Linked DNA regions of Caenorhabditis elegans. The protein of the gene in region 1 purifies or fractionates together with the protein of each later gene. This does not show direct contact. Each region holds a gene or a part of one and is shown in the gene's direction. Other genes may lie near its edges.

Evidence for each region.
Region 2: the proteins of rab-10 (region 1) and gsk-3 fractionate together in Caenorhabditis elegans (co-fractionation; one large-scale study listed by BioGRID). This does not show direct contact.
Region 3: the proteins of rab-10 (region 1) and dcap-1 fractionate together in Caenorhabditis elegans (co-fractionation; one large-scale study listed by BioGRID). This does not show direct contact.

What each region holds. Positions count from the first base shown.
Region 1 is NC_003279.8:6,455,143-6,462,034, reverse strand, and holds rab-10 (Ras-related protein Rab-10), read left to right. Parts: upstream 1-3,555; 5' UTR 3,556-3,562; coding exon 3,563-3,689; intron 3,690-3,744; coding exon 3,745-4,057; intron 4,058-4,134; coding exon 4,135-4,213; intron 4,214-4,583; coding exon 4,584-4,670; 3' UTR 4,671-4,753; downstream 4,754-6,892. Other genes in the region: knl-2 (Kinetochore null protein 2), read right to left, coding at 1-171, 216-779, 826-912, 961-1,044; mam-8 (MAM domain-containing protein), read left to right, coding at 5,109-5,316, 6,080-6,216, 6,270-6,552, 6,682-6,892. UniProt on the Caenorhabditis elegans protein: The small GTPases Rab are key regulators of intracellular membrane trafficking, from the formation of transport vesicles to their fusion with membranes.
Region 2 is NC_003279.8:12,817,045-12,827,353, forward strand, and holds gsk-3 (Glycogen synthase kinase-3), read left to right. Parts: upstream 1-2,171; 5' UTR 2,172-2,317; coding exon 2,318-2,410; intron 2,411-3,490; coding exon 3,491-3,759; intron 3,760-4,605; coding exon 4,606-5,182; intron 5,183-7,074; exon of another isoform or gene 7,075-7,128; intron 7,129-7,471; coding exon 7,472-7,621; 3' UTR 7,622-8,558; downstream 8,559-10,309. Other genes in the region: nhx-8 (Sodium/hydrogen exchanger), read left to right, coding at 8,748-8,750.
Region 3 is NC_003282.8:1,049,886-1,056,935, reverse strand, and holds dcap-1 (mRNA-decapping enzyme 1), read left to right. Parts: upstream 1-2,141; 5' UTR 2,142-2,149; coding exon 2,150-2,248; intron 2,249-2,297; coding exon 2,298-2,407; intron 2,408-2,473; coding exon 2,474-3,158; intron 3,159-3,862; coding exon 3,863-3,967; 3' UTR 3,968-4,412; downstream 4,413-7,050. Other genes in the region: mrps-25 (Small ribosomal subunit protein mS25), read right to left, coding at 1-31; Y55F3AM.13 (FH2 domain-containing protein), read left to right, coding at 636-764, 806-1,391, 1,456-1,601, 1,649-1,852; Y55F3AM.21 (DUF7154 domain-containing protein), read left to right, coding at 7,015-7,050. UniProt on the Caenorhabditis elegans protein: Component of the decapping complex necessary for the degradation of mRNAs, both in normal mRNA turnover and in nonsense-mediated mRNA decay.

The sequences.
Region 1 (6,892 bases):
GTCTGCATCCGATGCAAACTGAGCATTCCGTGCAGCTGGACGCGGTGGTGGTGGTTGTACCGCTTGAACGCTATCTTGAGATTTTTGTGTTGGTGGAATTTGATTATTGGCCCCGTCAGCCAACCGTTGTTTTTGTTGAGGCGTTGAAGAAGCAATAGGACCTTGTTTTCTCTGAAGATGACAAAATATTGTTTCCAACATAAATTTTTACTTACCACTGGAGTTTGCTCGAAGATGAATACTTTTTTCGCGCCACCATTGTCGTGTCCCCGTGTGAATCTTATCGGAGTGATTGGCTCGCCGTTCTGAGATTTCGGAGCACGAAGGGTGTAATTAGCTTCTTCCAGCTCTTCCTCTTCTTTTCGCCTTCTTTCAGCCTCAGCTTCAGCATCTCGTCGTTGTTTTTCTTCTTCTAATCTTCTCTCACGTTCCTTTGTTTGCTGTTCTTCACGCTCACGTCTGTTCCTTTCTTTCTCGTTTTCGGAATTTTTCTGGCATCCTCCAGTTAGCTCGGTTTCATCTGCCAACGTAACAATTGGTTCTGTTCTAGTTCTAATTGGTTCTTTTGGAGCCTGTTGGATAGGGCGAAGTGCGCTTCTTTGGTTGGCTGACATGCAGGAATAGATAAGGTCGGCCCAATTTTCAGGAATTCCATTTGAAAATTCATCAATAATTCTACTAGGCATTCCCATTTTTTGTTGATATTCCCGATCAATCTGTCCGACCAAGTCGAAGAAACGTCCGGAAACATCGAAAAGCAACGTAGAAGTGAAGCGTCTCTGAATATTTAATGAAAATTGTTGACGAATATGTTTCTCGACTTACACAAATAAATTCGGAACAAACTTTCTGCATCATAGTGCCTTCTTCATTTCTCACAAAACCTTCGAGTTTGAAACTGGTCGCGTTAAACTGTAAAAATATTGAAATCATGAAAACTTAAAAAAACTAGACAGTTACCTTCATGGACCACAAGTTGAGACGAATGATTTCGCTATCAAGTACATTTTGTACTCGAAGAGGAACAATTTCCGTATCACCCATTAGGCATAAAATACCGTTTATTGGAAGAAAAACAGAAATCGGAATGAGATGTCTCTCTGATTTGAATGCAACGCCTTGGCGGCAAGTGCAACGGAGCGTGTTTGCCTGGAGTCGTTGCAAAATAAAAACTGGGGAATACTTTAATTGCTCAAGAATTAGTTAGAAAAAAAATGGTAATAGCTTGAATATTTGGCTTTGAGTAGTATAAACGGTTTATTTATAGTTTTATAAAATAATTGTTCCAAAAAATCTCTAATTACACTGCTTGAGATAATGAGATATCAGTGAATCTGTGTTCCATGATTTTTACATTAATTTTATCCGCAAGGTGTCACCATTGAACATATTTGAAACAATATTCTTCGAAGCCATTCTCAATATTTAATTTGTTTTTAAAGAGCTTTATAATGAAAATAAATGAAAAATATCGACAATTCATGCTTTTATTAATTTTTCCAAGTCTACTCACTTAAATCACATTTTTCTCCATGATCATCGATCGATATGATTGTTTTCTCCGTATTACAATTGTTTGTTCCTACGATTTTGCCCTAGATTCTGCAAAAGCATTAGTCATTCACAATTCTCTATGTCCGCTCACCGCCCGTCCATTCTAAAGTGGGCGATGATGATTTCGCAATACTCTTTCTCTTCCTATGAACAAACATTCTTTCTTCAATATATTCTTACTGCCATTCTTACAATCCTAAGTGTTGATCGGTCGATAGCCATTCCGATTCCTACTCAAGCTAAAGTCAAGTTGTTCTCACAATCATTCAATAATTCTACATATATGTACATAGCTTCGGGAATTATTTATTCCATACTTTTCCAGCTAAATTGAAGGTTAAAAAGTATACCATAAAAACATATCGATTCCAGGATCAAATTATTCCATGCAGCATGGAATGTGAAAAAACTTCAGATGATTCTGAAAAGTCATAATTTTCGATTCGTTAATTAATTTCGTTAATATGAAGTTAATTCTAAATAGGTGGGAAAAAACTATTATTCAAATTTTCATGAACAGATTAGCTTGAAGTTTTGTGAAAAGGTTTTAATATTAATTTTCGCAATAATTTTGTTTTAAACTCAGAATGATTCATGCCGCTTGAACTTTTTCTTTTCATTTTTTGTTGAACCTTCTCCCACCGGAAACATAAAAACACATGATCCAACTACCACCACTAAGCTGTCAACACTTTGCCCTTTGCTTTCGCCAAGCTCTTGTGAAGCAGCTCATGTCTTTTTTCTTTTTCATCCTTCCAACAACGCGCGCTCTCTCTCTCTTTCTCCGTCTCTATTCCTTTTCTCGTTGTCTCGGTTCCATCGATCTCCCATTCAACATACGGCCGAGGCGCCCTCTCTTGTCTGTATCTCTGGTCTCTCTATCATCTAGAGAATGAGTCCTTTTCTTTCTCCACCATCTCATCAAATTAAACGTCTATTTCGGGGGTTTTGTCTATCTAGTAGAGGTCCAACCACACTAGCCTTCAAAAATTTCACCACGCCCAATGCCCTCCACCACTGAGAATTGACCCTTGTCAACAACCTTGTCTTCTGAATTTTTGATGACAGAGGCAACGGCTTCTTTTGATTTTTGAAGTTTTGAGATTGCGACTTCCTTTTCATCATTGACTCATTTTTTTCGATAATCAAAAATTATACACTACGAGGGAGCGATGTTCTCTTTAATTTTTTTTTGCTGTAGCTTCTTTTAATTTTCAAAACAATTTATCAAAACATAGCTTTCTGAAATCACCCTGAAATTTCAGCTGAAACTTATTATTTGAAAAAATATTAGAAATGTATTTTTTAACTTCAAAAAATCTAGCACATTTTGATATTCACCTATCATAATTATGAGTTAGTGTTCCTATTGTTTTTATATCAATTAATATGTTCATTTCTGTTCCTAAAATATTTCATCACAAATTATTGAAAAATCACAGTTTCTTGAACATGTCGTTCACATTTTATTCCTTATCACTTCACACATCTCATGCCATCTGATAACGTACTTTGCATTACAAAATTGCAAAGTTCACCATTCAATTTCAAATAAAAAGCACTTTCGATCAATAAACGTCCACCTGTACCCGTTTTAGATTCGCTTCCTTTCCAAATAACAATTATAATGATCTCTTTGTGTTTTCGTGACCCGCAGAGGAAGCCAGCAGCTGCTGTTCACCTTTTCCCGAGAATTTCCCAGAAACAGCTAATCGATGTGATTTGCGCATGCACGCGTTAATAGCTCCGTTCAAATTTTTTTTTGTTATAATGGAAACAACAATTAACTATTTTGTCCTGTTTTTTCTTTGACAACATTTTATGACAAAAACCTAATTTTGGAAAACTAGAAAAAAATTAGAAAGTTCTTCCAAATATCTTCCAATTGTCAACTCTTGATAACTTCTTCGAAATCTCAAAGTGTTCGTTCTATTTGCCATGACTCAAGTGCTTTTCTCTTACTTTTGTGCAACTTTAGTTCTCAACTTTTTCTCATTTCAGAAGAAAAATGGCTCGCCGACCGTATGACATGCTCTTCAAATTGCTGCTAATAGGCGACTCAGGAGTTGGAAAAACTTGCATTCTGTACAGATTTTCGGATGATGCCTTTAACACCACATTCATCTCAACTATTGGTTAGTTTTTATTCAGAATCTAGTGATTTCAAAATAATTTTCTTTTTTCATTCAGGAATCGACTTCAAAATTAAAACTATCGAATTAAAAGGAAAAAAGATTAAATTACAAATCTGGGACACAGCTGGACAAGAACGATTCCACACAATCACAACATCATATTACCGCGGAGCAATGGGAATTATGCTGGTTTACGATATCACAAATGCGAAAAGTTTTGACAATATTGCAAAGTGGTTGCGCAATATTGACGAACATGCATCGGAAGATGTTGTTAAAATGATATTGGGAAATAAATGTGATATGAGTGATAGACGAGTTGTGAGCAGAGAACGAGGAGAGAAGATCGCACAAGATCATGGTATTAGGTACGTTTTGGGAGATTAAAAAGGATTAAAAAATAAAAAAATATATATATATAATCTCAAACAATTTTTATTTTCAGCTTCCACGAGACTTCAGCTAAATTGAATGTTCACGTCGATACAGCGTTTTACGATTTAGCAGAAGCAATTCTGGCTAAGGTAAAGTTTTAAAATGTTTTTAAAAATTAAAATTAAGGATGTGAAAATTCGAAATATATTAGTACATTCTTTGCACGGGCGAATATATGTTCTGATAGTATTGAAATCGACGAAAATGTGATAATTAGATTGCTAAATGCATTAGAATCTGATTTTTTCTTGTGAAATTGTTCGTAATTAGTTGAAAAATCTAAGAGCCTTTTTATTTTTGTCCTCATTACTCTTCTAGTACAAAATATGAAGAGCGAAACTTCTTCGTTTTTAATCATGCAAAAAATTTTAATCGCTTCGTCAAAAATTGCACCAGAATAATCTAAATTAGTTTCATTAATACGATTGTTTTTTTTTCATAATTTGTTTTTATTTTCAGATGCCTGATTCCACTGACGAGCAATCCCGCGATACGGTGAATCCAGTGCAACCACAGAGGCAGAGTAGCAGTGGAGGATGCTGCTAGATTCATGTTTTTCCCTCTTACTTCTCTATTCTCCAATTTGGTTTTGTAAATGTTTCATCCGGGTATTCATGAATTTGAATGTCAATACATCTTTTTTGCTTCTTCTTCTTTCCCCCTCATTTTTTTTCGAATTTTTGCCTCACATTCTTCCCTTCTAGGAAACATTTTCTCCATTTCCACTTACCTGTTCTAACTAATGATCGTTTAAATATGTTCTCCATTTCTTTCAATTTCCCTCCCCCTTTTACTTTTCTTACAAATCTTCTCGTGCGCAGAGACTTAATAAAATAAATTGCTCTTCTTCCACATGCTAACTAGCCATCTTTACCTTCATTGCTTACTCTTGTATAATTGACATGTCCTCCCCCTCCCCCCGAAAACCGGTCACTTGTTGAATATCCAACGAGGTCACTCTAACCAACTTCAGGATTATGACAGATGACACCGTTCAACGCAATGCTTTTCAAAATTATCTACCTAGTAGTACTACCTATTTCTTACTGTACGGAGTTATGTACATTCAACGAAGGAACCTGTGAATGGGATATCAGACCTCCGTGGAATGTTGTCTCGTTGGCAATTCTTCCACGTCATCAGCATCCTGGACTACTAAATATTTCAAAGACACCCGATGTTATCACTTCTGGTGAGAAATTAAATGTATTTTCTAATGTCTTCTAGACTACATCTCGTGTATAGCATGTTCACTATTAAATCGAAATGACTAAATACATTGGCCGATCGGAGAACCTGAAATTTAGCTTCAATGGTTAATTTATTATTTGCACAAAGATTCACAACAATCATCTACTATCTCAAAACAGGTTTTATACGGTAGATCGCAATGTGCTCATCACCACGATTTCTTGCCGCGATTTTACTATAGTCACATAGATTCAAGCAGTCTAGTAGACCCTCACGGATGATGTCACATGTTAAAAAAGTTACCGACATTTTTAAAGATCATGTTCTACGGAATGTACCACGTCGGCCGTTTTTCTCATTGAGACTACGGTAGAATCGCGATTTATTCGAATCGTGGCGAGATATCAGTTACAGTTATCTGTACTTTTACAATTTTCTTTTCAGTTTTAGTTATAGTTTTTCTAAACATGTACTCGAATTGGGGCAAAAGTACTAAATATATATATTTGAAAATCTACAATTTTGTACAATCATCAATGTTTTAGGTCAATCTTTTGGCAAAATGCCGAAATTTGGAATCTTAAATATCCGCTTCTGTACTCGTAATTTTCGTGTAGTAACAATGAAAACATTGAGAAAGTAATTTAGTATACTGAAACCATTTACTTCAAGTTTTGAAAAATCTAGGAAGGTCACCAAGTGTGTCCTTTGAAACTTGCGCACTCTAACATAAATGGGGAATTTTAAAGTCGCTCGTTTTTCAGAAGGACCATTCCTACTTGCACAAGGAAAGTTCGCATCAGTGCCCTCGTCAAGAGTTACTTCTCAGAAAATCTCAAAATCAGATCATATGAGAATACTTGCATATCGGTATCAACGTCGTGGAATGGCGACTTTGAGGGTATTTTCCCATTTTAGTTTGAAATTTATGAAAACTCTTACTTATAATTTCAGATTCTTTTAAAAAACCAAACAGACGAGATCTTACTTGATACCATATCCTCAAATGAGATAGAAAGAATCAAATGGCATCGTCGAAGTGTCATTTTTCCTCCAATTCCAGATTATAATCAAACAAGTGTTATATTTGAATGTGATAATATTCAAACTGCTGAAGATATCATTGCTGTCGATGAAATTGACGTGGCAACACCTGCAAATGTTATGTGGGCGGGACAAGATTCCAAGTTTTTTGATGAAGAAGATATACGAAGAAGAGAAATTCGGAGAAGTTCAAGTAAGTTGATATTGTAGACAATATTCGGATCCCTAAAACGTTTTTTTCGTTCTTTCCTTGTTTTTTACTAATGCGAATAATATTCTACAAAAATCCCAAGGACCATCTCTATAACTTTTAAAAATTCAGAATTATCAAATGTATGTACTCCAATCTCTTGTCATTTTCGTTCTTCAATTTGTTCCTGGCAATCAACGAATATTCAACTTCTTCCATCTAAAATTGTGAATGAAGCAGCTGGTGAATCAACTTTGACATCTTCTCCAGTTCGTTTACCAATTGATGCACCATCTTTCATTCAATTACAAATGTTTAATAGTCAAGGATCTGTGACTTCTTT
Region 2 (10,309 bases), 6.4 Mb from region 1:
CCGAAAATTTTTGGAAAATTGCGGATTCGCACATTTTTTTTGGAAATTTCAGAATTTAAATTTTAATCGGCAAAATTGTTCCCATTCTGTGAATGTTCCTATATCTATTTTGAACAGTAAGCAAATTCTATGAAAATACTTAAAGAAAACGGGAAAAAATTTCAAAACGGCACATTTCCGGCAAACGGCAAATCGGCAAATTACCGAGAATGAAAAATTCCGGCAAATCCGCAAACCGGCAAGTTCGCAAAAAAAATTGCCAAATTTCCGTCCACCCTTAATTGGACATTCCCGACATTGCCGAATTTCAACATTTCCGATACAAAAATAAATATAAAATCAGTATAGAATGAAAATAGAAACCATGGGAACATTGAATATGCTTATTTCCACATTGATAGCGCATTTCTTCTTCTTCTTTTTTCTTTTTCATTTCCTTTTTCTTCTCCATCTCACCATATTTTTGCCCATTTCCTCCATCAGACACGCGCTCGCGCTCACTCGCTCACCACACTCAATTTTAGCTGTTTTTCCTTCTTTTCCACCCCCTCATATTGACTGACACATATATATTATATATATATATATATATAAAGATACATATATGCAAATTGATGTTCGGCAAATTGACATTGTGCAATTTGCCGAACATGAAAATTTCCGGCAAACTGGCAAACCGGCAGTTTCCCGGAAAACAATTTTCCGAACGACAATTGCCAGTTTTCCGGTATATATATTTATATATTCCCTATTACGATCAATATAGAATCCTGTTTAGCCAAAATCTTTTTTGATTTTTCCCAAGGAACAACATTTTAAAAAAATACGTACCTTTTTATTGCCACGAAATTTAATTGGAAAAAATCAATTTTGAAATAAAATGTATTTTTGTATTTATATAAAAAGCAATTCTATTTATTTTTAAAACGTGTTGGATTAGTTTTTTAAAATAAAAAAAACAACACCGAAATTTAGTCATTTTTCGTTCAATCGTTAGTGAGAAGCGGTGAGTTTTGGCGATTTTGAGCATTTTCCGTTGAAAATATGAGTAATTTCCTATTAAACTGGTTATTTCGATCGCGCTAGTGAAATTTCTTGAAATTGTGTAGCAAAATGGGCTTACATGCTATTTTAAGATGAGCAATTGAAGCATTTTATTTTGATTCAGTCAGAATTTTGAAATACTTACGAAAATAGCAATTATATCAATTCCAAATCAAAAAATATGGTACTTATGGGTTTCGTTCCCCCCAAAATGATTTCCATATTTTCTAATTGATACGTGAACTTTTTTTTCATTCCCAGGCTTAGGGAAATGATTTTCTAAGCCTTGTAAAAATGAAAACAGTATTAAAATAAACAATAACGTGTGGATTAAAATTAAAAAGGTAGTGTTGAATAATTAAAAATCATTTTGGGGGGAACGAAACCCATAAGTACCAAAAATATAGTTTCTTCTAGAAATATATTTTTTATTGCCGCTAAATTTAGAAAAATTCAATTTCGAATGAATATGTATTTATTTATTTTGAAAAAAACGTACATTAAAACGTGTCGGATTAGATTTTACTTCCCTTTTTTTAATTTTAAAATTCAAAAAATTCATTTCTATATTTAAAAATTTGGCAGTTTTGGCGTTTCCCTTTTATTACAGTGAGTTAGCCAACTTTTTCGAGCTAATAACATTACATTAAGCTTTAGAAAAAACTTTAGAAGTTTTGAGAAATACTACTTTTAAAACTTCGATTTTTTCAATTTTTGGCTAAATTCTATTCTAGTTTGAATATCCTCCAAAATGAGAGCTCCCCTACGACTATTTTGGATTTTTTGAAGCGAATCCTAAAAAAATGGGCTGAAAATGCCAAAAATCGTCTAATTTCCAGTAAAGTTTTTTGGCGAAATCCATATTTAACAGCTCTTTAATAGTCCTACAAATTCGACAAATTGCCGATTCGTCGGAAATTGGCCGGTTTACCGATTTGCCAGAAAAAGTCGTTTGCCGCCCACCCCTGTTCCCACTTTGGCTAGGAATTCCTAAAAGTTTATCGAATTTTGAAATGTTACTCCATTTCACCTCATATTTGCCTTAAATATCACCCATTTTTATACGTTTCCTCGTATTTTTCAAACCCAACGCCCAAATGAAATATTTTATTATTTTTTATTTTCAGGTGAATAGCCTCATTCTCTCCGTTTTCCCTCTCAAAAAACCACATCATATCCTCATCATCTAATCTCTGGCTCTTCTCATTTATTGGACAGAGCTCATATATACACACACACACACAAGAATCAAATCAATCAGTAGTGTGGTGTGATGAATAAGCAGTTACTATCGTGCTCGCTGAAAAGCGGAAAACAAGTGACGATGGTCGTCGCGTCAGTCGCCACGGATGGTGTTGATCAGCAGGTTGGTTTTGAGTGAGGAAATTTTAATTTTCTCGGAGAAATTTGGATGAAAAGAAGTTGGATATCAGAGGTGGGCGGGTATTTTTTTCGGATATTTTCTAATAATGAATTTATCAATAAGTATTGATGTAGTTATTCTGGAAAAAATGTATCCGAACAAAAGAGTAACTATTAAGCAACATTTTAATATGATAAAACCTAAAAAAATTCTACAAGTTTTCTGTATAAACGATATGCAAGTCCATTATCCGATATCCGTAATATCCGTAATATCCGATTGCTTAATAGTTACTCTTTTGTTCGGATACATTTCTTCCAGAATAACTACATCAATACTTATTGATAAATTCATTATTAGAAAATATCCGAAAAAATATCCGCCCACCTCTGGTGGAAATGCATGAAAATGAGGATTTTCACAAAAAAAAACTCTTTGGAAGTGATACAAATATATTTTTCGATATTTAGTACAACACAATAAATGAGTTATTACGTGTTTATCCACAGATAAGAAAAATCGCCATATCTGCCGCGCAAATGAACCCGCGGGAAGAGACAAAACTACTGTAGTTTTTAACCAATTTGTGTAGATTTACGAGCTATTGCGTCATCGTTGAATTTAATTTTGAGCCGCAATTTTTAATTTTCAGGCGTGTTTCACTCTTTTTTATATTGAAATTTATCTATTTATTGAATAAATCTTAAAAGAAAACACAAAAAAATTAGAAAAACGCCTGCAAATTAAATTCAACGATGACGCAATAGCTCGTAAATCTACACAAATTGGTTAAAAACTACAGTAGTTTTATCTCTTCCCGCGGGTTCATTTGCGCGGCAGATATGGCGATTTTTCTCATCTGTGGATAAACACGTAATAAATAGGTTGACAAAATTGTTCTCCTTTTCCTCGTGGAGTACACGATTTTACTCAAGCACTTAAAATATCAATTTCTTCAAAAAAAAAAAAAGGAAATTTGCTGGAAAACTAGCTGATAAAATGTGAAAAAATTATTATTAAAAAATCTCCAAACGAAAAAAAACACTGTAATTCAAATTTTAATTAAAAAAAAATGTATTGTAGGTTGAAATCTCGTACTACGATCAGAAAGTGATTGGAAATGGATCATTCGGAGTGGTATTCCTTGCCAAACTCTCTACAACAAATGAAATGGTTGCAATCAAGAAAGTTCTTCAGGACAAACGATTCAAGAATCGTGAACTACAGATTATGCGAAAATTGAATCATCCAAATATCGTGAAGCTCAAATACTTTTTCTATTCGAGCGGCGAGAAGAAGGATGAACTCTACTTGAATTTGATTCTCGAATATGTTCCTGAAACTGTCTACAGGTTATTTTTATTAGGATTTTTAAAAATTTCTGGAAAATTTCAGTTTTTAGCGGAATTTTTTTGTTCAAAAATAAAGAGAATTTCTTATTTAAAAATTGAAAAAAAAAATTTTTTTGGAAATTTTTAAATAAAAATTGCGAATTTCTTTTTTAAAGATATTTTTAAAAATTTTGAAAAACAATAGTAGAAATTCAATAAAAAGCTGAATTTTTATGTTTTTTTTTGTGAAAAACTGTTTAAAAATGATGTTAATGTAAATTTTTAAAGGAAATAATCAAAAAATGCCTGATTTTTTTAACCTTTTTTGTTAATTTCTGACAAAAATTCATGGAAATTTGATTTTCCGTCGATTTTGTGAAATTTTGGTTCGAAAATTGAATTTTTTCGCTAAATTTTGATTTTTTAAGATAAAAATTGATTTTTCCCGAATTCCAGCGCTACAGGGCGATTTCAAGCAGATTTCTTTGCAACATTTTTGACTAAAATGCACTATTTCACGAATTTCCTCCTGAAATTTATGTAAAAAGCTATTTAAAAGTTCAAAAATGCGTTCCAAACGTATAGAAAGGCTACAAACTACATGGCTGATAGCTTGGAATTTAGAAAATACGATTTTAAAACAAAAAAACTTGAAATTTTGCAAAATTCTTTACAAAATTGAAAATATTCTATTTTTTTATAATTTTGAATTTTCAAGTTGAAAACCTAGAAATTTTTTTTTGACAATTTTTGACTAAAATTTATGGAAAAAATTATGTAAAAATTGAAAAAATTTAGAAAAATCGATTTTTAAACAAAAAAACTTGATGTTTTGCGAAATTTATTTGAAATTTTTAATTTTTGCAGAGTTGCCCGGCACTATTCGAAGCAGCGACAACAAATTCCAATGATTTATGTCAAATTGTACATGTATCAGCTTCTCCGTTCATTGGCCTACATTCATAGCATTGGAATCTGTCACCGTGACATTAAGCCTCAGAATTTGCTCATTGACCCGGAAAGCGGAGTGCTTAAGCTCTGTGATTTTGGATCTGCCAAATATTTGGTTCGCAATGAGCCAAACGTCTCGTACATTTGCTCGCGATATTATCGTGCTCCGGAGCTCATTTTCGGCGCTACAAACTACACGAACTCGATTGACGTTTGGTCGGCTGGAACTGTAATGGCAGAGCTTCTTCTCGGCCAACCAATTTTCCCTGGTGACTCTGGAGTTGATCAACTCGTTGAAATTATTAAAGTTCTTGGAACACCGACTCGTGAACAAATTCAAAGTATGAATCCGAACTACAAGGAATTCAAATTTCCACAGATAAAGGCACATCCATGGAATAAGGTATTCCGTGTACACACGCCTGCTGAAGCGATTGATCTCATTTCGAAGATTATCGAGTATACGCCGACGTCTCGGCCAACACCTCAAGCGGTGAGTTTTTTGGGGGTTTTTGTAGAAAAAAGGCCGAAAAATGAATTAAAAATGTTTTCCCAACACTAAATTGCTGAAAATCGACTCTTTTTTCAACTAAAAACCTTTTAAATTGAAAAAAATTGATTTTTTGTCATTGAAAACTTGAGAAAATTGCCCAAAAGTTTAAAAAATACTGCGAAATTCAGGAATTTTAATCATTTTGGCTATTTTACAATTTTATGAGAAAAATCTCTAAAAATTAATGGAAGTTTGAATTTTTCGACTTTTTATCGAGATAATTAAAATGGCGAAAATTGCACAAAAAATGTCAAAAACTGATTTCCGGTAGTTTTTAACGTTTAAAAACACTTGAAAATGGAAAAACAAAACTTATATTAAAATTGTGTCAAAAAATTATTGAAATTGTCTAAAAATGGACTTTTTTTTTGTTTTTCGGTTTTGAAAGCGAATGTTCTGTAATTTTATTCTCAAAAAATGCGAATTTTTGCTCACAAAAGTTATTATGGAACACAAAATCCTTAAAAAAACATATTCGATGCGCAAAATATATCGTAGCGAAAACTACAGTAACCTTTTAAAGGACTACTGTAGCGCTGCGCTTGTGTCGATTTACGGGCTCGATTTTTATTCTGCATTTATTAATCAAAAAATGAGACAATAATACGAAGAAACGAAGGAAAATATAGAATAGATTCATATCGAAAATCAATCCCGTAAATCGCCACACGGAGCTATAGTACCCATTTAAAGGGTTACTGTAGTTTTCGCAATGAGATATTTTGCGCGTCAATTATGATGTGTAATACGCATTCTTCTCAGAATTTTCGGTTCCCGTAATATGAATGAAAAAAAAAGAGAAAGTTGAGTGTGATTTTTGAGACATTAGACAGTTGACTGAAAATTTATTTAAAAAATTTCGGCCATTCGGTCAGCTTATTTTTCCTCCATTTTGAAAATTGCAGATTTTGCAGATTTTCGATCGCTCAAAAAAAAAGCAGCCAGTTTGAAACGAAATTCAATGATTTTATCTGTATTTTTCCAAAAAAAAGTATCTTCATTGTTCACAAATTCGATCGCCCCCTCACAAAACCGCTTAGAAAGTCCACCCCGTTCGTTGGTTGCTTTTGAAAATCGCCTTAATATCTATCGTTGAAATCTTTGTTTCCTCATTGTAATTCTCCCATAGATCAAGCCATTTCCCGGTTTTTTTTCTTAGATTTCTCAAATTGGCACGAATATGGAAGATATTTATGGAAGCAGATGGGAGCATTAGATTTTTACACAAAAAAAATTGCAGAATTTTGGCTTTTTTTTCCAATTTTTGGAAAAAGATAACTTGTGAAACCGTGGTTTTTAATTTTGAAAAAAAAGCTATAAATTCAAAGTTAGTGAAATCTGAAATAGACATAAAAATTGAAAATCCCACTGAAATTTCAACTTGAATTTAACAAAATTTCAGCTAAAACTTGGAAAGAAATGTTTCTTGGAATTTTTATAGAACTCGCTGACAAGCAGTGAGCAGTAAAAAACTCGGCTCACAATTTATCCGTACTTTTATTTTTTGAAACTAGTAACTAAATGTCAACTGCAAGAATATTAGAGGCCATACTACAAATGAGATTTCCAGAAAATTATGATGTTCTCGTAATTTTAAAGATGGAGACATTTACGTGGTATGATGGTTGAAAATTAGAAAATTGGCTTGAAAACACTTTTAAATTTAGAAAAACCACAAAAAACGAGCAAAATCGAGAAAAATGAACAATTCAACTTTCGAAAACACGATTTTCCCTATTGTGACTAACTAGTATATTTTAAATTTCCATTTTGAATTTCCTCCAAAACGAGAACTTCCCGACCAATCAGCGATTCGTCCTGCCCACTTTTCAACCAATCAGATGAAGTGGGCGGAGTTCGATGTCGTTGATTGATCGATTGGGGAGTTTGCATTTTGGAGGGAATTGTCTGCGTTTTGATCTACAAAAAATGCGGGAATTTTTTCCCAGAAAAATTGTAACGTCTGCACGCTTTTAACCATGTGAAATCAGTTGAGATGTTTGCGTCTCATCTCCCGCATTTTTCGTAGATCAAATCAAAATGGGACTTTCTGACTCCACGTGGATTCAAACATGGGGAATTTGGAACTCACAATGGACAAAAATATCGATTTTGCTCGTTTTTCTGAATTTGAGACTGTATTTTGAAATTTTTGAGAGACAAAATCGCCCCCAATTCACGCTACTTTAACAATTCAACCAATATATATATGTTTTTCGTCTTTTTCAGGCCTGCCAGCACGCATTCTTTGATGAGCTCCGAAACCCGGATGCACGTCTTCCATCTGGTCGACCTCTTCCAACACTTGAGATGGACGGTCCAATGGGAACTGGTGAAGTTTCAACGACAAGCGGTGATGTGGCTGGCCCATCGGCTTAAACTTCTTTTTTTTATTTTAATATTGGTTCTGAATTTTCTCTCGAATGTTTCTTTTTTTTTCATTTTCCGTGGGATTTTTCTTTTCCATTGATTTTATACATCCATCCTCTCCTCTCTCTCTGTCTCTCTCTCTCTCCATACCTATCATCATTAAGAAAAAAATTATTATTTTTTCTTTTGAGCCCTCCCCCCCCCACCCCCCTCCATCGCCCGTATCGTCTCCATAGCAACTGTGTTGTAGAAGCATTTCCCCCCAACTCGATTGTCTGCTGCTCTTCTTTTATTTTATTTTATTGTCCCCTCAAGCTTTTTTGTCTCGAAAAACTTGAATTTTTACTCTTTTTTTTTTACCCCACCTGGCTCCCCCCTGGATTTTTCTGTGAAAATTTGGCTAAAAATTAGGTTTTCAAGGTTCCTGAAATTTTGGCTGAAAATTGGGTTTTAGGCCAAAAATTTTGGGTTTTTTAAACCTTTGGCCTAATTTTTGAGGCCCAATTTTTTAGGACTTCATCTAGGCCCAAAGGCCTGAAAAAATCCGCGACTTCTGTACATTTCCTCCCCCTCCGCCGCCGTTTTCTTTTGTAATCCCGATTTTGTGTTCCCACGCTCTCCTCTAAAGAAATTTCTAGCCAAAAATGAATTGAAAACTGCTCTCTCTCTCCCCCATATTTTCTGTCTTTTTTTCTTTTCTTTTTTTTGCTCTGTAAGTGTCTCCCCACAACGCCAATGTCCCTGTTTTTGTGGAAATTTTTTATATATTTTTTGGAAATATAGTATTTGTCCCCCCAATTCATTACATTTTAAAAATATTTTATTTTTCCCCACTCTACCACCACCACCAACTGAAATTTCACACACCATCCAAATTCTCTCCGTCTCTCTCTCTCTCTCTCATTTTATTTTCATTTTTTTTCCTGGAAATAAAAGTGGATCGATTTTTCTGAAGATTTTCGAGATAATGATCATCCCCCCGCGCGCGCATCTCCGAATAATGCCTCTTCTTTGGACATTAAACAGTCATTTATTTGTCCGATGCGCCTTTGAAGAGACGAGAAGCTTCCTTGTTAATATTTTTCATTTTGAACCGCTGGCGCTGAAATTTACTATACATTGCTACTGAACATAAATGGTGAGGCTGTGGTGGTTTTGTAGTTTGTAGTCTTTGTGACTACAAACTACGAAAATTACTTTTTTTTTCCGCTTGGAATTGGCTTTAAAATGAAAGTTTTTTTAGTTTTTGAAAATTGGAAATTTTTTTAAATTTTAGATTTTCAGAGCGAAATCGACGATTTTTTTTTCGAAAACCGGGATTTTTATGAAATTTTGCTATTTTTGCGCAAAAAATACGGTACCGGGTCTCGACACGACAATTTTTTGTCGAATACGAACAGGTGTGCGCCTTTAAAGGATACTGTAGTTTCAAACTTGTGTTGCTGCGGAGTTTTCATCGATTTTTCGGTTTTTTTTTTGGTAAAAGCATATTTAAAACTCAAATATTACAATAAAAACACTTAAACTTAAACAATTTACCGAAAGAAAGACAGAAAAATCGATAACAATTGCATAGAAACAAAAGTTTGAAGTTACAGTACTCTTTAAAGGCGCACACCTTTTCGTATTTAACAAAAACTGTCGTGTCGAGACCGGATACCGTATTTTTGGGGCGAAAATCACAATTTTTTACGTCTGGTTAATATTTAATAATTTTTACGAATTTTTCAATAAATTTACATTTTTTTCAAATTCTTTATTTTTTTAAGCGAGTTATTGTGAAAAGTTATACATTTTCTTGCAATTTTCTTTAAAAAGTACAAAAAATTGGTTTTTTTCAAGAAAAAAATTCATGGCCGAGGTTTCCATTTTCACGGCCACGTAGAAAAATTCGACTACAAACTCCAAAAAAAAAACCTTTGAAAATCTTTAAAAATCCAAATTTCCACGAGTTTTTTTTCTTCCAAATATTTGCTAAATGACTGGTTGGTTATTGGAAGTGTACGAGTGTGTGCTAAAAAAGAAATAGAGCGCAGTTTCCACTACACTGTCTGCGGTCTCTGCGCTCGGCACACTCTCTCGTCGTCTCTTTCTCTCTCTCTATTCATACAAGAGAAGAATTTCGATTGAAACGTGTGTGTGTGTGTGTGTGTGAAATACACGTGGATTCCACATTTTGCACTCTTTTGAACCATTTCATTATGTTCTTTTTCATTTAGATATTGGTTGAGGCTCAGAAATTGTGTAGTTTGTAGTCTGAGCCTTAATGTTTAGGCGTTTAATTACTTAATAAAACTTCTAATATTTCGTTTAATATTATATAATTTACTTAAATTTACAAGTTCGACTGTTAATTTTCATCTTTTCCAATTAATTTTTTTAATTGAAACGGAAATTTCTGAAAATTTTCGATAAATCCAAGGCTGACTTTTCTTTTTTCTAGACCAAGTGACAAAATCCGACTTTTTTTTTGAAAATTTTGCCAGAAAATTACAAAATTCAACTGATTTTTAAATTTCACCATAATAAACCTGCTTACAATTTGTTTCACAAAAACGTACAAAAATTTTCAAAAAAAAAACCCGCTATTTTCTGAAAACTTTTGCACCTTTGCGACTTTTGCACCAAAAATACGGTACCGGGTCTTGACACGACAATATTTGTTAAATACAGAAAAGTGTGCGCCTTTGAAGAGTA
Region 3 (7,050 bases), on another chromosome or scaffold:
GAAGCGGCATGGACCCGTGCATGAACGGCATTTCTGGTTTTGAGCTGAAAAAGGAAGGAATTTCGTGGGAAAACGCTGAATATGAGATTACGATAAATTTATGCAAAAGATAGAATTAAAAAACCACTGGAAAAAGCTAAAAAATCGCTTGAAAATGAGAAAAAAAATATATAATTAAAATAAATAATTTTCCTCCCAACGACACTCCGATATCACGTTGTGCGCCTTCTTTATCGTAAATCCACATTTGCTTTTATTTCTGATTTTTGGGTTTTTTAGCTGTTTTCAAGCTATTTTATATCAAAATTCAGTAAAAACCGGTAATTTTTCGTCTATTTCCCGCAAAAATTACATAAATCATGTAAAAATGCTGATTTTATACCAAAAATTCACTAAAAATAAATAACACGCACTTGTTAATTCGGAGCATCGTTGTTTTAAACTCTAAATTTTTTTTCCAGAAATTTGATGGTTTTCCCAGTTTTTCAAGCATATTTCATGTTTTTTGGTGCCTTTAACGCTTCTGAAAAATTTTAGATTCTCGAAATTCCATCTTACAATCTCTCGATTGCTCTGAAAATCTCAAAAATCTCAAGATTTCGTATAAAATAGGATTTTCCAGGGTAAATCACGCGATGCCAATGTACAAGCTGACACCGACGTTCCCACCGAATTTTGAGGTTCATCCGAAAATCGCCTGCTATCCAGTAGGTTCGTATCATAATCCATCTTTCGGAGGAGTCGGGCCTTCTGATGCGGTGCAGGTAATAGACGGATTTTGGCTCAAAAAAAACTGAAATTTCAGGTAGAATCCGATCCGCGCAAGGCTTTGGAGCACAAACAGCTCTCACTGATCGAGCAGCTCAAAGCACAGACCGAAGAGCTCAAGAAGTTGCTGGTAAGCCTTGGAGAGGCTGGAAAAGCAGAGAGATCTGCTCAAAAACCTGCGGAAAAAGCGCCAAAAGAGCCTGAGAAATCCGCTGGAGCAGCCTCTTCAGCTCCCGGAGTCCCCGGAGCCCCCGCAAAACTAGACAAGGACGCCAAGAAGGAGGCTCGCAAGGCTGCCAAGGCAGAAGCCGTAAAGAAATTGGCTTCCGGAGAGGCTCCACCACAGAAATCCGCGAAAAAGACCGTAAATTCGACTCCATGGACCGTCCAGGACGACCGAAAGACGTGGGAGACCAATCTGACTCTCACCGTGAATCTCCCAACCTCCCTTGTGGCCTACGAGCCGCAGGAGCAGCTGAAAAACGCCACGCTGACAGTGCGGGACGTGGATTTGCCGTGGGCTCGGGCTCTCGCAAAGGTCGGCGCAAGCCGTGGAGTCTCGTTTGAGGGAGAAGTCAAAAATCAGACGAAAGAGAAGAAATCCAGTCTGAAAGTTGTGAAAGGTGCGGGATTTTTTCTCTAAAAATCAGAATTTTATGATATACCCTTAATTTTCAATATTTTCAGGCCCTGCTCCCTCCCTGCAATTGGAAAAAACTACCGTCAAATCCCTTCAAACTATCTGGAAGCTGTTGGGCTCTTCACTCGGGCTCTTCTCTAGACGGCCACAACAAGTGCTCAGCGCCAGTCATCAAGCGATTTGGCTGGGAAAAGTAGGAAATTTTAGAAACTTTCCCAAAAAAATCAAATTTTCTTTCAGGCCGAGCAAATCCTTGCCGGCTCCTGTGATCAGAGCTTTGTCACACGTGAAGCTTCTCAGTTCCTGGCTCGTTTCGACTCGTTAAGCTCTCAATGGGAGGTGTGTGTCGCTGATATTGTGTTCAGAAGCCTTCTGAACCTTGGGGAGCACCTTCCGAACAATGTGGAGTTGTGGGCTAAGAAGATTGACGCTTTGATTGTTTAGATTTGATTTATTGATGTTTTTATTTGATTTTCTCGGTTTAAATGAATTATTTTGCATTTTTATCTGATTTTTTCGTTTAAGAAACAAATTTTTTGCTTTAAAAATTCAGTTTACAATTACAACGATACTCCAAAATCCCGCAGCGCGCCCTGTTTACCGTAAATCTACACCATAGAATTTCAATTTAAATTCTGTCTTTCTTTGTTTTTTTCGCGATTTTCACCGATTTCCGCAGATTTTTTGCACTTTTCTCATCATTTTTCATCGAAAACTCAACATTTTCATCCAGGAACCAGTATGAGCGACGCTAAAAAAAAGGCCGCCGCCGAGCTAGCCGCGAAAAACCTCGCACAACTCCAGAAAATCGACATCGCCGCCAGCAAGATTCTCGACAAGGTTTAACATAGAGAATTGTGGATTTTAAAGCTAAAAATTGGTTTTGTAGATGCCATTTGCCGCGATTTATCATATCGATGCGGCGAGAAAAGAGTGGAATCAGTCGAATTGCGAAGGAACATTTTTCGTCTATCAGAGAGCTGATCGGCCATATTTTAGGTGAGAAGAAGCAAGAAAACATGCAAAAATAGCTAAAATAATCAATTTTAAACTTATTTATTTCAGTTTCCTCATCGCAAATCGCAACGATCCATCGGATTTCATCGAGCCGCTCACCCTCAACCATATTCTCCGCCACGACGGAAATTTCATCTACTTTTACAAGGATTTGGCCTCAATTCAAGCACTATGGTTCCACCAGATTGATGATGCTCAGAAAATCTACAATTTGTTGCAAAAACTCGTGAATCGTCTGAAAGGAAGCACTACGGAGCAGGCTCGGGCCGCCAAGGCCGCCTCGGAGGCTCCACAGGCTTCGGTTCCGGCTCCAACGCAGGCTCCAGCAGCTCCAGCTCAAGCTCCACAAATGGCTCCTCAAGCCCCACCAAAAGTGGATCTTCTCCAGCTCATAAAAAGTGCGCAAAATCCGCCGCAAAAATCTGCGGCAACGATCGAACAAATGCCGCCAATGCTCCAGAAGCTGATGCTCAAAGAGCCGGGAGCAGCAATGTCGGCCGATGAGCTCGAGAAGGATCTTATAAAGTCGGCAAAACCGCATCGGAATCATCTTTTGCAAGAATTTACTAACTCAACGTCGGCGATTTCGTTGGCGGCGGTCTCGACGAAGCCTTTGCATGGATCGGAGGGTGATGTGGAGTCGGATATTGCTGAAGGAGAGATTTTAGAGCCACTTGATGCTTCATTTGTCGTTGGAAGTGGTGAACAGACGCCTGTTCTCAATAAAGAACAGGTTGGAGCTGGAAAAACGTTTTTTTTTTGAGTGAAAAGCTCAGATTTTTTAGATAAAATCAATTAAAAACTGATTTTTCACGAGAAATCTCGAAAATTTACATGAAAAATCTTTATTTTAGTTGAAAAATTTTGTCAAAAATCCCATTTTTGCTCGAAATTGGAGCTAAAAAATGCGAAAAATCAGTTTTTTAACGGAAAATTCAGGTTTTCCAGCTAAAAATCTGCTTTCTCAGTGAAAATGAGCAATTTTTAAGCTTGAAATCGACTTTATTTGTTTTTCAACATGAAATTACGATACTTAAGCTGAAAATTTTAGGCCCAGGCTTAGGCTCAGGCCTAGACCTAGGTTCAGGCTCAGGCTTAGGCTTCTGCTTCGGCTTAGGATTAGGCTTAGGCTTATGCTGAGGCTCAGGCTTAGGCATAGGCCTAGGCTCAAGCTTAGTCTTGTCCTTTAGATTTAGCCTTGGGCTTAGGCGTAGGCGTAGGCCTAACCTTAAACTTAGGCTTAGGCATAGGCATAGGCTTAGGCTTAGTCTAGCTTAGGTATTGAAATCTCTTTTAAAAAAAGTACCGTTTTTTCCTAAAAATTATAAAAAAGCGGTAAAATTTCCGGAAAAAAGCGAAATTTATCTAAAAATCTCAGATTTTTGTGAAAAATCGTTAAAAATCACCGAAAACCCCCTAAAATTCAAATTTTTTCAGTTCATCTCAGCAATCGCCCACCTAATGCAAACCGACGACGAATTCGTTTCACAGATTCATCAAGCCTACGTCAGTGCACTCAATCGGCGTCTAAATATCGATTAATTTCCCATTTTTTCGACCTTTTTCTCATTTTTCTGCTAAAAATCCTAATTTTCCCCGATATTTCCCTGATTTCTTGCTGGTTTTTGAGTGAAAAAATCAAAATTTTCTCCGATTTTTTGCTAAGAAATTTTTTTTTCCGATTTTTCCTGTGAAGATTTCCAATTTTTTGCTCGAAAAATCCCATTTTCCCTCTATTTTTCCCACTTTCCATATTTTTTCAACGAATATTTTTTTGTGAATATTGTGTGATTCCTCCTGAGCCCTTTTGCTCATTTTTCCCCATAAAATTGTCCATATTTTGTTCACTGAATGGGTCTCCCTATTGATGATATCTCAAACCACACCGCCCTCCAAAAATTTTCGTTTTTTTAAATTTAAAATTCCCCATTTTCTCCACTTTACTCTAAACTCTTGATTGTGAAAAATAATAAAGGAAGTCGCGTCGAAAAAGTGCAGAAAGTTGGCTGAAGCTATCGAAAATTGTGGAAAGTTACTGATAATTGTCGAAAGTTGACGAAAGTTGTCGGAAATTGTCAAAAACGGCAAAACTGACGAACTTTTGTCAATATAGTAAACGTTTTCAAACACCGCCGACAAGTTGTAGAAAACTGCTGGCAAAATATTGCACGGATTTCTGGCTTCCCTCATAAATTGAAATGGAAGAGTTTGTCGAACTAGGCCATTTTGGTTCGGCCATATCTGGGGTAGATTTACGGCGCGTTGCGGCTCGATTTTAGTTGTAAAACTAAATGCATTTGTCCGAGTGGAGTGCACCACTTTCCCATGCGTTGTCCGGCGAGCGATTGTCAATGGAGCGCGAAAAATCCATTGAGGAAGGCCGGAACCCCGTGTATATTAATAGAATAAACATTTTCATGTATGCAAAATATGTGCACAAAAACTTTTAAAGAAAGTCGGCATCAATTTTCGTGTTGAGCCATTTGGAATAAAGATTATCATTATTCATTTTCATAACAATTATATGTTTTCCCCAAGAAAGCGGAGCGAGTATCGTACCGCCAGCTTAAAGGCGCATCGCCTTTAGTGTTCGATGGGTCTCGACGCGATGAAATCTTGCCTTGGCCGCAGCGGCGATTTGTCACCATTCCACTGCGACTTTTTTCGAACGAGGGACGAGGCAAAAAGGTTTCTAGGCCATGGCCGAGTCTCCGACAAGTTTCAGCGGCAATTTATATTGCATTGTTTTCCGCTTGTTTTCTTCAGTTTTTCTTCAATTTTCACCGTTTTTTCTCATTAAAACTAACAAATAAATACATTTTACAGATTTTGAAACGATTTTCACGTGAAAGAAAGAATTTTTGGGTCGACTAGTAGCTGCGGAAGGTCACACAGTAAGTATTATCGATTAAACCAAAAAAAAACCCAAACTTTTTTCCAAACATAATAAAAAAGCTGTGTCAATGCTAATTGCACATTATTTTCATAACCAGACTTCTGAAAAAGTTGTCAAAAAATTTTTTTTGGAACTTTTGTATGAAAAAATCGATGAAAATCGAGAAAATTCGATAAAATCAGATCCCAAATGAAAAAAAAAAACCCCAAACTTTTTTCCAAACATAATAAAAAAGCTGTGTCAATGCTAATTGCACCTTATTTTCATAACCAGACTTCTGAAAAAGTTGTCAAAATTTTTTTTTTTGGAACTTTTGTATGAAAAAATCGATAAAAATCGAGAAAATTCGTTTTTTTCCATTAAAAACAGGAACATAAATCATTTATAAATTTTCAGATGGTCAGCAGGAAAAGGCGGGCAGCACAGATTGAAAGTAGCCGTAAAGGCGTCGCCAGCAAACTATGAACTTCAGAAGTGCCACTTCATATTTGTACTCACATCTTCCCGATTCAAGTTTGGGATTCGGTGACACCACAACTGGAAGCGACTCGTTTAGAATGATTGACGTATGTTTTGTTCCGTTATTGAATCAGTGAACATTTGTAAACTTAAAGGAATTCTACACAAGTGACCAAATACCCGTCTGCGGATCGTTTTGCATAATACTTTCAAAACGTTACTCAAATGAGTCGGACATATCTGTGGCACTGTGGCACTTGTTCGACAACATCACGGAATTGTTCATGCGGTTTCTTCCGCTAGTCCATCAGGCGGAACTCAATCCAGGGCACTCTATAATTTAACATCCAAAACAAATGGAGTTTTTGATGCTGGGCAAGATGAGAATTTCGATAATGTAAGTTTGTTTAGAAACTTTATTTTTGTTTAGTAAAATGTTTTCCGTGATTCGGGATTTCCACAAAGAAATTAATTATCTTTCTCAACGTGGATTACTTACTACGGCACAGCAAATCGCTCAGCCGTGACTCCAGCTCAGACAATCTCGAGTCACTTCTACGCAAAATACCATTTCTAAGACACTATACAATATACTCCTCTTCATTACAGCCCCTTATGCAGGCTAAAGTAAATCAATATTTTATCAGCCAATTTACAATCCTCCGTATCCAATTTACTGTGCAAACCCTCTGGTCTCCGGGCAAAATATTATGATGTTGCCACCAATGAACGTTCCATTTTCAAATAATTACTGGGCGTGCTTATCGATTCAAGATCACAGTTAGTTTCTTGGTTTACTTACACTCGAATTAAATACACGCATGTAGGTACAAAACCAACACTTTAGGCCCGCACGTTTTGCGGGCCGTATTATGAAATGAAGTTGAAATCGGCACCATTTCATAATAGGCGGCAAATACTCGAATTTGCAGAATGTTCGCCGTTCTTGGTGAATCGCTCTCACGTTAAACATTGTGGTGCACAGAACTCGTGAGATGTTTGGGTGTCAATCAGACCTGTGCGGCATTCGGGATTTTTCGGCATGACGGCATACATATGTCGCGCTCCAAAAGCCAGCATTATGCCGTTTGCCGAATGCCGAATACCGCACTCGTGGTGCCGTTTTGACTGAATTCCAGAAAACGTCCCGCAAAAATGCTTACACACCACTCAGTTTCTTTATGTGTTTAATCTTTCAGTTCCGATTGATTCTTTTCGGTCACTTGAGCTCTCAATGACCAACGACAACTACAACGGCGGTGACTTGCAA